Sus scrofa: one gene and its partner. The protein of the gene in region 2 interacts with the protein of the main gene of each other region in a pairwise test. Links are inferred from orthologs where the notes say so. Each region holds a gene or a part of one and is shown on either strand. Other genes may lie near its edges. The genes, in order: RBM12B and RBM10.

What was found.
Region 1: the proteins of RBM10 (region 2) and RBM12B interact in a two-hybrid assay, tested with the Homo sapiens proteins (3 studies listed by BioGRID). The link is inferred for Sus scrofa from reciprocal best matches to the Homo sapiens genes RBM10 and RBM12B.

What each region holds. Positions count from the first base shown.
Region 1 is NC_010446.5:42,944,650-42,950,788, forward strand, and holds the start of RBM12B (RNA-binding protein 12B), read left to right. Parts: upstream 1-2,252; 5' UTR 2,253-2,276; coding exon 2,277-2,291; exon of another isoform or gene 2,292-2,672; intron 2,673-5,741; exon of another isoform or gene 5,742-5,951; coding exon 5,952-5,998; exon of another isoform or gene 5,999-6,139.
Region 2 is NC_010461.5:41,771,638-41,777,777, reverse strand, and holds the start of RBM10 (RNA-binding protein 10), read right to left. Parts: upstream 3,881-6,140; 5' UTR 3,559-3,880; coding exon 3,489-3,558; intron 1,582-3,488; coding exon 1,440-1,581; intron 1-1,439. Other genes in the region: NDUFB11 (NADH dehydrogenase [ubiquinone] 1 beta subcomplex subunit 11, mitochondrial), read left to right, coding at 4,331-4,537. UniProt on the Homo sapiens protein: Binds to ssRNA containing the consensus sequence 5'-AGGUAA-3'. May be involved in post-transcriptional processing, most probably in mRNA splicing. Binds to RNA homopolymers, with a preference for poly(G) and poly(U) and little for poly(A).

The DNA of each region.
Region 1 (6,139 bases), on a different chromosome or scaffold from region 2:
GACACTTTTAGAGTGTCTTTTTAACTCGTGTTCTATTTTCATGCTTAGCAAACAATCCTCTCATCTTTTGACTCCCTATTGAATGTGTTTATGGCCAATGAAGTGCTGGTCAGCTTGAGTTGATCTTAGGTTCACTTTACTAGTGTTTCTTCTTGTGAATTAATATTGACAATATTGACATTTTGGAGCATGGTTTCTGTGTGCTTGTTTAAAGGGAGTTTGCCTCAGAAGACAGAATCCTCTCCTTGTGTAATACAGAGCAGTGTTCTCTGGAAGCAAATCATTATGGTTCAATTCCTGGCTTGTATTATCTCTGCAACCTTGGGTAAGCTAAGTAATCTTTTATGCCTAAGTTTCTCTTATTTGAGAAATAGGAAAAATAACAGTACCTACTTCCAAAAGTAGATGTAAGAATAAAAATGAGATAGTGCAAATTAACTGGCACATAATAAACCCTCAATAAATGTTATCTGTTAAGTTCAGTTTCTTGAGCTTGCTAGGCTAGGACCAAACCTTAAAAGTTTGGGAAATAAGATAAATGCTACTAGAAGTTCCATCATGGTGCAGTGGGTTAAGGACCTGGTGTTGCTGCAGCTGTGGTGCAAGCTGCAAGTGCAGTGTGGGTTCCATCCCTGGCCTGGGAACCTGCACCACATGCTGTGGGTGAGGCAAAAAGAAAAAAAAAAGATAAATGGTACCTAGTCATTGAGCCCAGCTCCCTGAGGCGATATTTACTGCTCCTCTGTGGGAGCACCTTGACATTTGAAACACGAACACTTACGTTGCCTCAGATATTTACATATATTTACTCATTGAATGTTTCCAGCAACCCTAAGAAGGTATTAACATTAATCTCATTTTACAGATGAGGAAACTGAGGCATAGAGGCGAAGTAATTTGTCCAAGTGAGTAAATGGTGGCTCTTGCTCAGGGAACCACCTTTTTAATTCATTTGTTAAACTACCTCTTCTTTGTTATAGAGAATGGGTATTTTGCTCATGGAGTTCCGGTCATGGCTCAGTGGTTCACCAACAGGACTAGTATCTATGAGGATGCAGGTTCAATCTCTGGCCTTGCTCAGTGCATTTGGGGATCTGGCATTGCCATGGGTTGTGGTGTAGGCTGGCAGCTGCAGCTCCTATTTAGTTCCTGGCCTGGGAACCTCTATAGGCCTCCAGCGCTGCCCTAAACAAACAAACAAACAAACAAAAAGACAAAAAAAAAATTTGGAGTTCCCTTTGTGGCTCAGCAGTTAACGAATCTGACTAGGATCCATAAGGATGAGGGTTCGATCCCTGGCCTTGCTCAGTGGGTTAAGGGTCTGGCATTGCTGTGAGCCGTGGTGTAGCTCGAAGACCTTGCTAGGATCCCGTGTTGCTGTGGCTGTGGCAAAGGCCTGCAGCTGTAGCTCCAATTTTCCACCCCTAGCCTGGGAACTTCCAAATGCCACAGGCGCGGCCCTAAAAAAAAAAACCAACCAAAAAAGCCCCTCATTTTTCTCTCTTATCTGTAATACTGCTATAAAGTAAGTTTCTACTTTCTTAGTGAGTTTTGATTCCACCCATAAGCGCATCATGAATTATAACATGTGATGCGTTGCTTTGCAAATAATAAAATAAAACATAGGGTTGTTCACCAGCTCTTACATAGTAGGCACCACAGCACATGCCTGTAATTGTGCTTTTCACGTCCCAGTTTTCAAAATTGGCCCAAGTGTTCTCACGTTTCAAAGGACCAGAAGGTAGGAACAACAACTGTATAAAGCACTTCTTCATAAATGTCTATAAAACGGAAGAAGCATGCACGTATTAAGTCCCTGGGCGTTAGCACTGTACCTGGAACATCTAAGGCAGTAGCACTAACATTTCTTTGGCCTTTTAAAAGTGTTTACAAAGAGCCTTTCGGAAGATGCTTAGAACATATAACTGCAGCGCTGAAAGACGACGAAGAAATCGCAAGGTTTTCTCTGCTTTTGTATCTCTTCTTAACTCCTGCGAGTCACAAACCTTTGCCTAGTCTATCTTGCCTGTTGCCTACTGAAGCTTCTCATTACAGCAACCGGTAGTCCCTGAACTTTGCCTTAGAACGTCTCCTGAGTACAGGTTCCAAGGTTGGCTGGAATCTGAGCATGCGCAGGAGCTCAAAAACCCCAGCAGGGGCGAGAGCGCTCGCGGGAGCCACCTCCCTTTCCCTGGCAACAGGAAGCGAGCGAGCGTCAGAGCGCGTGCGCAAACGTGGCCGGGGCGCCGGGGTGGTGGGTTACGCCTGGAGAGCGCATGGGCAGACAAACTGTACGTCCGTTTGTCCGGAGCGGAGGGGAGAGTGGGCGCCATCTTCTTCTAGGCTCACTGAGGGCTCTACCTGTTTTGGGGAGGCAGCTTCGACGAGGAGTGCTCCCCGTCCCCAGCCTTGTGGTTCTGATTCGGCAGCAGCGGTGTGTGTTTACTGCCAAGTGCGAAGCAGTTACCCTTGGGGCGTCGGGGGCGGGGAGGGGTTGGCGGCAGGGACGGAAGCACAGGGAAAGGCGGGGCGGCGCCAGGAACTAGCGTAGCTTCTGCCGTTAGGGCACCCTCTTTCCTTGCTAAACACCGACTCCCCCGACAGCCTCCATGTGGTGTTGTGTTTGCACTTACCAGTCGGCACGAGAGTGAAGATCTCGAAGGATTTCATAGGTATTTTTTTCTTTGCTATGTCATCGTAGTCAGTGGTGGCAGAAAAGCGCTGAAGGCCCAGCTCATTAGGCTTGAGAGGGGCCAGAGTGTTTGAGTTAGGTGTGGGAGCAGTTCACCCTCTGGAGAGTTAGGGTGGAATGTTTGCCCTTGGGACGGTGTAACGGAAAGGCACGGAGGTTGGGCGGTCCAGGTTAATTTGAAGGCTGATTTTGGCTGAAGGTCTGGCGACAGCATCGGATCCCACGTAGAAACTTTGGCTTGGCGCGAAAGAAGGAAGCTCTGACCCCTGGGAGTATGGACAAAGGCTTTGGGCTATAGAAGCAATGCCTTCGGAGGACCCCCCCCCCCTTGAGGATGATGGATGTTATGGGAAAACCTGTGCCGTGTGGATTCGTCTTCACTTACGGTTCCTACTGGGGACTTTGGCTCTGTGTCGTCATGCCTTTGATTTTTATTTTAACCATCTGCATTATAAAAGGATAAAAAAGGCATATCGTCATAAAGAATCTTTGTGGACCGCGGTAGATTTTATTCTGCAGGGGAAACTCATGCATTTAGAATTGGAATGTGCTTCATCGTAACTTTTTTTAAGAAATAGTGGCAGTTTTCTCTCCTTCACCGTGTCTGGAAAATGACTTGCTGTTCTCTAGTTAAAATAAATGGATCTGAGATAATATCTATTTAAATTTAGCATTCCTCCCTTTGCCCTCAGGCTTAATTAGATGCACGTTTCCTGTTGTTTGTGATAATCGTGATCGAGTGGGATGAATGGTGGGATGAAATCAGCAAAATAATTTAAAATGAGCTTGGTAATTTCAGCGACTTGCCCTTAATTGAGCTTTTAAGGACCCACTTTTTTCATAGGTTGAAAGTTCTTACGGATCAGTCTTTAACACAGTCACGAAAATACTTTTATTGCATTTATAAGTAGAAAAATGTAGGTGCAGAGTACTGTAGAGTATTGTTGTGTTTTGCTTTTTTGTGTGTGTAATGCTCCAAAAATAGAATTTTTCGGGTTGCTTAAGGAAATATCTATGGGAACCACAGGAAAGGTGCTCATTTTGAGAGCTGGTCTCTTATAGGTAGTCTCCTAGGTGTTTTTTTTTTGTTTTTGTTTTGTAGAGGGATAAATGGTACATTACTATTTCAAGGGCAAAAAAGTTTAAGCAATAATTATATTTAACTGTGGAAAATTAGAAGACAGTTTTTATATAGTCGAATTGGAATTTATTAATTTGTACTCATGGAACTACTTAGTTAAAATACTGTTTTTAAATTAGGATAAATTACCAGACTGTTTTTTTTTTTTTTTTTTTTTACTTTGACAAACAATAAGTATTCTTTGAAAGGACCTCAGCTTTTCTTGTAGGTATATTTATGTTCCCTTTTAAATTTTTTTAAAAAGTTTAAGAGGGATAAAATGTTTATTACACTGCTTTCTAAAAATACTTTAAAGGTAAAAAAGGAGTAGCTTATTTTGTGTAGGAAGGAGTCTTGGGACTTTAATGTGGACAGCTATTCCAGAAGCCATTTACAGTTTCTGTTAAAAATGTTGTAGATGTTGGTTTGCTGAAGAAACTAAGCTTTTTTTTTTTTTTTTTAATAACTTTCAGATTTTTTTCTCTAACAGACACTTTTTCATAACAGTTTTTCGGGTTCACATTAATACTGAGTGGAAGGTACAGAGATTTCCCATATGTCTCCTGCCCCCACACATGTAATGTGCAGATATTTTAACAGTAAACTTCATTAATACATTTTTTTTTGGCTGCACCCACTGCATATGATCTTTAACCATGGATCAAATCTGAGCACCTGCGGCAACACTGGATCCTTAACCCACTGCACCAGCCAGGAGTCAAACCCATGCTCCTGCAGAGACAGTGCCAGATCTTTAACTTGCTGTGCCACAGCAGGAACCCATTAATATTTTAATTATCAATTTGGTATTGATAATTCTGATGTGTAAAATGTGCCAGTTAATTTGATTGTTAGTTGACCTTATAGTTTAAGAAGTTTAATCTATGGACCTTTTTCAAAGCAAAATAAACCTTGTGGACTTAAAGACCATGTTTTCAGACACCACTTTGTGGAAGAGTGGTACTTAAGTGAATTAAAACATTTATTTGCACATTAATAACAAATTTATAATTATTAACTTAGCAGGTCTTTAAAAAAATCTACAGTAAATATTGTTAGTTTGGTATCTCTGTAAGTATTAGATGTAAATTTCCTTAAGGAAATATTAAATTGAGATTTTTCAGTAGTTAATACTGATACCCCCAAATATTCCAAATCAATGTATTTTTATTATATTTTTACTTTTTACTTTGTCATTTGGGTTTCCTCAGAATGCAGAACAGTTGTTTGGAAAGTAATATGCTTACTAGCATAATAAGATTCTGTGTTTATCTGCACATTTTGTGTTTGGCTTCAGATGAATTTTAATAGTAATTGTATTAGGAATTTAAGATGAGGAATAACAGGTGAGCTTAAGATAAAGAGTAGTATTAGTTGAGAGTTTTGTTTTTAGGGATACTTTACTATTTGTCTTAATTATAATGGAATCAGGAAATTTGGGTCCATGCTTGAAAGTGTGGGACGTATATGTAGAACTTAAAATTGTATCCAAATGGTAGCCATTGGTTTGGATTTATTGCTTTAAAAATTGGTTTTTGAATTTGAAACATTAGTGTTTTGTTCATTTGGTCTTATGAAAGGTAGGAGATTTACAGGAGAGTTGGACATAATGAGTTAGATGTTTTGTCTTTTCATGGGTGGAAGTGATGATAGATGTTTGGTGGGGAATTTTTGGTGTTTTTAAAATGTCATTTTACTTGTAGAACAGTTGTCTTTTTTTTTTTAAGTGGATATGAAATGTATATACAGTGAAATGCACAGACTTTACAAGATATTATTCATTTAGCCTTGATAAATTTATATACCTATGTACCCAAAATCCAGTCAAAATATATAATATTTTCATTACCTTTTTCCTTTTGCCTTTTCCAATCAAGGACTGATTGTTAAATTTTCAGGGTTTTTTTTTGTTTGTTTTTTAATTTGCAGATATCTGCTTGGAATTTGTACTTCCTTTTTGCTGAAGGATGATTAATTTCCCTTTGGAACAAAAACAACCATTTTATAATGCCCTTAGTTGTGGTTCCTTATATTGTTTCACCTTTAATAGGTAATTCTGTAGTGAATATCCTAATCTGGCGTTGTTTAAGATCGATTGCAGGGTCCAAGGATTAATTATATTTCATTTTCTTTCCACAGTTAAGTTGCTTTTACAGAATTAACAGGTCTCCAAGAAATAAAAAAAGGTAAGATATCCAGAGCTTAAGGCTTTTCACAGAGGCTTGACAAAAAATGTAAAGTAGAATAGTACATCTAGGTACAGGTGGCTTCTGTACTTTATATCTGGCCAATGATGCACTAGTGGTAGGCATTTTATTATCATGAAC
Region 2 (6,140 bases):
ACTGAAAACAACACTACATATTTTGGAAGGTACATTTCAAACACAACAGAGCAGCTGCCTACAGCTATGGGAATTGCAAATAAAAAGGAAAAAATAAATATAAGGTCTTGTACCAACCTATGATAGAAGCCTACCTTGAGGTGAAAAACTATGATTAACTCAAACCTTTGCACTTGGGGTCCTTTAAAAGCCAAAAGAAAGTCAGTGGTTTTATTTGGTAATAAAGTCTGAAGCAAGTATGTTACCTACACAAACTAAGAAATTGCCACAGAGCGCTTCCAGTGAATACCACCCAAAATTGAATGCCTTTCAAAAGATATTCTGAAACAAAGACTGATGATGACCACATCTAGAATTTGGGCTCAGTTTTCAGAAAATGAGATACTATAATTCTACAGTTTTTAAAAGGTAGAAGAAACCCTCTGTAAGACATTAAAAGGGATCTCTGTATTTTACCAAGTGTCCCAACTGTTTCTTGTTCATACCAGAGTTTAAAAATAACTATCCGAGAGTGTCCCATTCCAAGATAAATATCACACCAACTTCAACCCACCCTGTCCCTGAATCCCAGATCTTAAAAATGCAGTGCTGAGTTCTACCTGCTGACCTGGCTTGCCCCATACTTGACCTGGGCAATTCCTGATTCTGAAGGCACCACTCCCATCCATCCCTCAAACCCAAAGCTACAGCCCACACCTTTCCCCTGAGAATCCACAGGCACTTACAACCCACCACCCACCTGCCACCCACCTACGCCTCTCTTCCTGCAGGGGCTGTCCACATCTTAGTGGATGGCACCATATACCTATCTGGGTCAACCAGACTGGAAACCTGGGCATCAGCCTCCATTCCTCCCTTTCTCTTGATCCCTTCCCACCCTGTAACCAAACACGACACCAATCAAGCTGTTTTGTAATCATCTGTAACTGTGTAATATCCCCTGTGAGACCCTAAGTAAGGAGAAGGCTGCAATCCTATTTTTGTTGTTTTTATGGCCACACATCTGCAGCATATGGAGGTTCCCAGGCTAGGGAGCTATAGCTGCTGGCCTACACCACAGCCACCCCAGATCTGAGCCACATCTGCGACCTACACTGCAGCTTGGCAACGCTGGATCCTTAACCCACTGAGAGAGGCCAGGGATTCAACCCACATCCTCATGGACACTATGTTGGGTTCTTAACCTGCTGAGCCACAACAGGAACTCCAAAGGCTGCAATCTTATCTATCTCATTCACCAATGCACTCTCAGAGCCTAGCGCAAGTTCTGGCTCACAAGTGCCAAATAAACATCTGCTGAAAAGAAACCAATCATCTGCTGTGCTGTTTTTTTTTTTCCTTCCCCCTGCCCGGAAGCCCCCTCCCAGCGCTTTCCTGGGTCAGTTCGCACACAAGGACAAGCCTAGGCTGCTTGGAAGGGGTAGGAGTGGGTAACTCACCGTCTTTCATACTCCATGTCCTGATACGGCCTGCGGGGGCTGCTGGGGCCCCTCCTCAGCCGCTGGCTCCGTTTCACTTCCCAGCCACCCCCGCTGCTGCCACCATGATCTGCCAGCCTGGGCGATGCCTCCTGCAGGGACTCTAGGGAGAGGAGAAGGAAGAAAGGGGTCAAGGCAGTTGAGGCAGAGACGGGTTCCTTGAAAAAACCTTTTCAAGGCTCTCTGCTGTCCCTGAGCCCAGCGATGTTGTTTCCCAACTCGAAATACTCCTGGGGACCAGAGCAGGAAGGCAGTCCCTGTTTGGCTTGCTCCTTCCTTTCTTTCCCCACAAACGTGAAGCTAGAGCCCGCCACCCTAGACACAGCATAGCCTTCAGCAGAGGGGGAGCATCTCGCAGAGAGACCCAGTGGCGCCACCCATGCTGTCTGTGATCAGGGCTCTGCCATTGGAGACTGGTAGACAAGTTCAAGCCCAGAGCTATCTGCCCGGGCGGGCAGCAGGGGAGAGTGGGCTCTCAGTGCTGGGTGACTTGTCTCAGATCAGGCACATTAGACATCGGGGCAAGACACCACAACAGGGGTCCCAGGCACCCACCAGGCTACCATCCGCGAGCCTCCAGGGAATATTTCATCCTCCCCCAAAGACGCTGGCTGCCCACTCTGACACGGCAGGAGACCACGAAAGGCTCAGGGGGTGACGGGGCTAACTTGGCAATGACACAGCTGCCGCCTCCCTAGGCTCCTGGCCAACACAGTTTTGGCTCCGCACCGCAACTGGCTCAGCCCTGAGCCCTGTCTCTTATGCACAGCCAGGTCCCCCAAGGGGGCTCCCTCCCCAGAGCTCTGGACCCGAGTTGTTCAGAAGCAAAACGAGTCCTTTCGGAGCCTGTTCTGAACCGATGTGTTATTCCTCCGGGACGTATGGGCAGTCACTTTACCCAACCCTCAGGCTCCGGTGAGAACTAAGGAAGGCCTGAGAGCCTTGAGACCAGGCCAGGGGTCACCACAAAGTATCCCGGAATCTTTAGGCCCCACCCTCTGAACAAGACTCAGGCAAAGCCAGGTGGTAACAGCACCTGCCCCAAACTAGGTTGCCACTACACCTTTCCTCCGCGGATACACTCACACCGATTTTCTCTTCCTCCTCAAGCCACAGAGAACCAGCGCTACCCGCTCCCGGATGGCTAAGAGTTAGAATCACGACCAGGGGCTCCAGTGGATGAGAGCCGGACACAAAACCCTTTAGATCTGGCAAAGGAGCCAGGGTTATACACTGGTATCCACAACAGATAGGGAACAAACTCAACAGAGTCAAGCCCCGAATAACTAGGGGCCAAAATCACAGACAGGAATCCAGGGTAAATACAAGCCATAATCATCCACTGAGGCCCCCTTTCACAGGATGAGCGTCAGAGTAACAGATACGAAACACCCTCTTCCCCCACCCCCCACCCCCGCAAAGAAGGGACACTAAGTCTTACACACGTTCCTTGCACTTCCTCCCACCCAGTAAGTGGATTAGGGCCAGTTGTAAGAAGACTTTCTGGGATAAGGACCCCTCCCCATGGATAAGGACCAGGGTTACGGACACACGATCCGAGGATAGAGACCCCAGTCATACGTTCTCCCTCCTCCCCCACTCAAGAATAAGGACCAGAGCCACCAAACACTTCCCCGTGGATAGGTAAGTACCAAAGTCACACAGGAGAGCAGACAGCACACTTCCTATAGATAAAAACCAAAGTCGCAGACACTCGCCTCCCACGGATAAAGTTCGGCGTCGCAGACACACTAAGCCACAGTAACCCACTCCCATCCGTCCCTCCCTTCCCCCAACCCGCGTGCACCCATCCTGTGTCCCAATCGCGCACGCGCCTCTGCTCTCAAAAGGAGAAAAACAAAAAACAACAACAAAAAAAGACACCCCCTCCCGAGCACAGACCGTGTGAGCATCGGGGGTTCTGCACGAAAACCCAAACCTGCCGCCCGCAGTTCGCCCTCGCGCCTCCTCTACGCGTTCCCCCCCCCACCCCCGCCCCCGGTCCCTTACCTCCGCCCCCACGACCAGCGTCGACGCTCACCTTCTCGGCCCGGGCTGTCAAGGGAGGGCTCCCGGACATCACCTCGGCCCGCCGCCACCTCCTCCAACTCTCCCAGCTCAGCCGGAGCCGGTCCGCGCAACGACCCAGTCCGAGGCTGAATGCGGAAGGGCGGAGGACTGGGGAGGGAAGGAGCGCCCAGGCGCGCTGCCCTCCCCGGGCAACTCACTGCCGCCTACTCCCAGCCGGCCGCGATCACCAGCACAAAATGGCGACGACGAGAAGGGAGCCGGCGCTTCGACCACCATCCACCTACTAAGGGAGCGCGCTCTGGCCGGCCCCGTCTATTGGTCGCCGTCCTTCGTGGGCCAGCCCTGGCCTGCTCTGATTGGCAAGCGCATGCCACCACCCCGCTCCCCGTGCGAACGCCCGCAAGTCGAGAAAAAGAGTAGCTATTGGCCAATCCGGCGAGGCCCGCTTTTTAGAAGCTCGGCTTCCTAGGAAGATGAAAGACCAGCGGAAGCTCCGCCCCTCTCGCCAAAGGGCACGGGAACTCTCCTCGAGATTGGTTGGGGACTGCATCCACCCAAGTGTCACCGTTTTCTTCTCGTCAAGAAAATAAGCAGCCTTTTCGGCCAGAAATTCCACAGCCTGACCGAGAAGATAGGAAGCTGGTTGCTCCCGTGAGGCCATGACAGAGGGAGGGAAAGAGGACGTTTGAAAACAAAATCCCAACTCGGGACCTATTTAGTGCGGCGGGGGCGGAGCGACAATTCTCGCGCTCAGGCCCAACTGCAGCTGCGCAGAGTCACATTTCCGTCCCCGCCCCCGCGAGCCTGCAGAACGAGCTGTCATGGCGGCCGGGGTGTTAGGTTTGTGCGCTCGCCGCCTTTTAGCAGCAGCGGCGACGCGAGGGCTCCCGGCTGCCCGTGTTCGCTGGGAGTCCGGCTCCTCCAGGGCTGTGATCGCCCCGTCCGCTCTGGTGGGAAAGCGGCCGCCGGAACCGACTATACGCTTGCAGGAGGACCCAGATCCGGAGGACGAAAACCTCTATGAGAAGGTGAGAGGGAGGGGAAACGGGACGCCGCAAGGGTCAATCGGGGACCTGCGGACGGGGCGCCGTAGAGGACGTACTTAGTCGGCTGAGGATTGCGCAGCTGGCAAAATCCTCAAAGATTTGGGAGTTCTTTCTAGCTCCTTTTCCTCCTTTGTCCCCTGATAACCTTCGGTTCAGGGCCAGAGGCGAGACTGACCTTATTTTCCAGACAGATATCAAACCTGAAATGAGCAGTATACCATAACAGCAATAATATTAAACACTGATACGGTCCTTGCTCAGGTGTTCGAAACACTTTATAATATTAACTTATTTAATCCTCAAAACAGCCCTATTTCGAGGTAGGTACTATTAATATACCCATTCTGCAGATGAGGAAACTGAAGCATGAAGGTGTTAAGTGACTCCTCCAAGCTCACTTAACTGAATGTGTGGCAGAATCAGGTCTGCTGTGCTATCCTGTTAGCAGAGACTGAAATCAGAATGCCTGAGTTGGAATACAGGCCCTGATAGTTACTTACATATGTGACCTTGGGCGAGTAGCTTAACCCCTTGGTGCTTCAGTTTCTTTGAAAGATGGGGAAAGTATTAGGACACTTTCTAAAAAATAAAATATTACACCTGCCTCGTGTAATTAAATGAGTCAGAGTGCTCAGAACAGCAATTGGCACTTATTAAGTACTCACCATTAGAAGCTGTTAATTATTCTTGCCACTTTCCACCTTACCAGGATATTGTGCAGTTTGTGCTTGTGAAAAGGCCTGGCACGTGATAGATGCTTCATCAATACTAACCTTTGGTTGAGGAGCTTGGCTCTGTAGGATGCTTATTCATTTATATATTAATTCTGTAAATATGTATTGAAGGCCTGCTGTGTGCCAGGCTAAGTTCAGGGTGCTAGGGATTCAGCCACATGGGAGTTAGATAAAGCCCTTGCTTTCACAGAGCATACATGATAGCAGAGAACAGGGAAAATAAATGTATAGAATATTAGAAAACAGTGATATAGAGGAATTCCTGTCGTGGCTCAGTGGTTAACGAATCCGACTAGGAACCATGAGGGTGCAGGTTCGATCCTTGGCCTTACTCAGTGGGTTAAGGATCCGGTGTTGCTGTGGGCTGTGGTGTAGGTCGAAGACGTGGCTCGGATCCCAAGTTGCTGTGGCTGTGGTGTAGACCAGCAGCTACAGCTCTGATTGGACCCCTAGCCTGGGAGCCTCCACATGCCGTGGGAGCGGCCCTAGAAAAGGCAAAAAGATAAAAAAGAAAAAAAACCCAGTGATATAAAGTATGCAATCAATAATATAAGATAATGTGATCAGAGGATTTGGGGGCTATACTGCTTTGGCAAACAAGTAAATGCTAGAAAGACTGTTAAGCAAGATAAGTGAATGGATAGTGACTTGGGGTAGGGAGTTATTTTATTAGTTTGAGCCATAGGAAATTGCCAATATTCAATAATTTTTGACCTGTTAAAAATGTCAGTTTGCTCTAGCTCAACTTAATAGACAAGGTGACTAGGAAATGCCTCCTGAGGGGAGCGATGATGAAGCCAAAACCTTGATTGAGGAGGCAGATCCAGCCACAGCTAGGTCGGCGGGAAAAG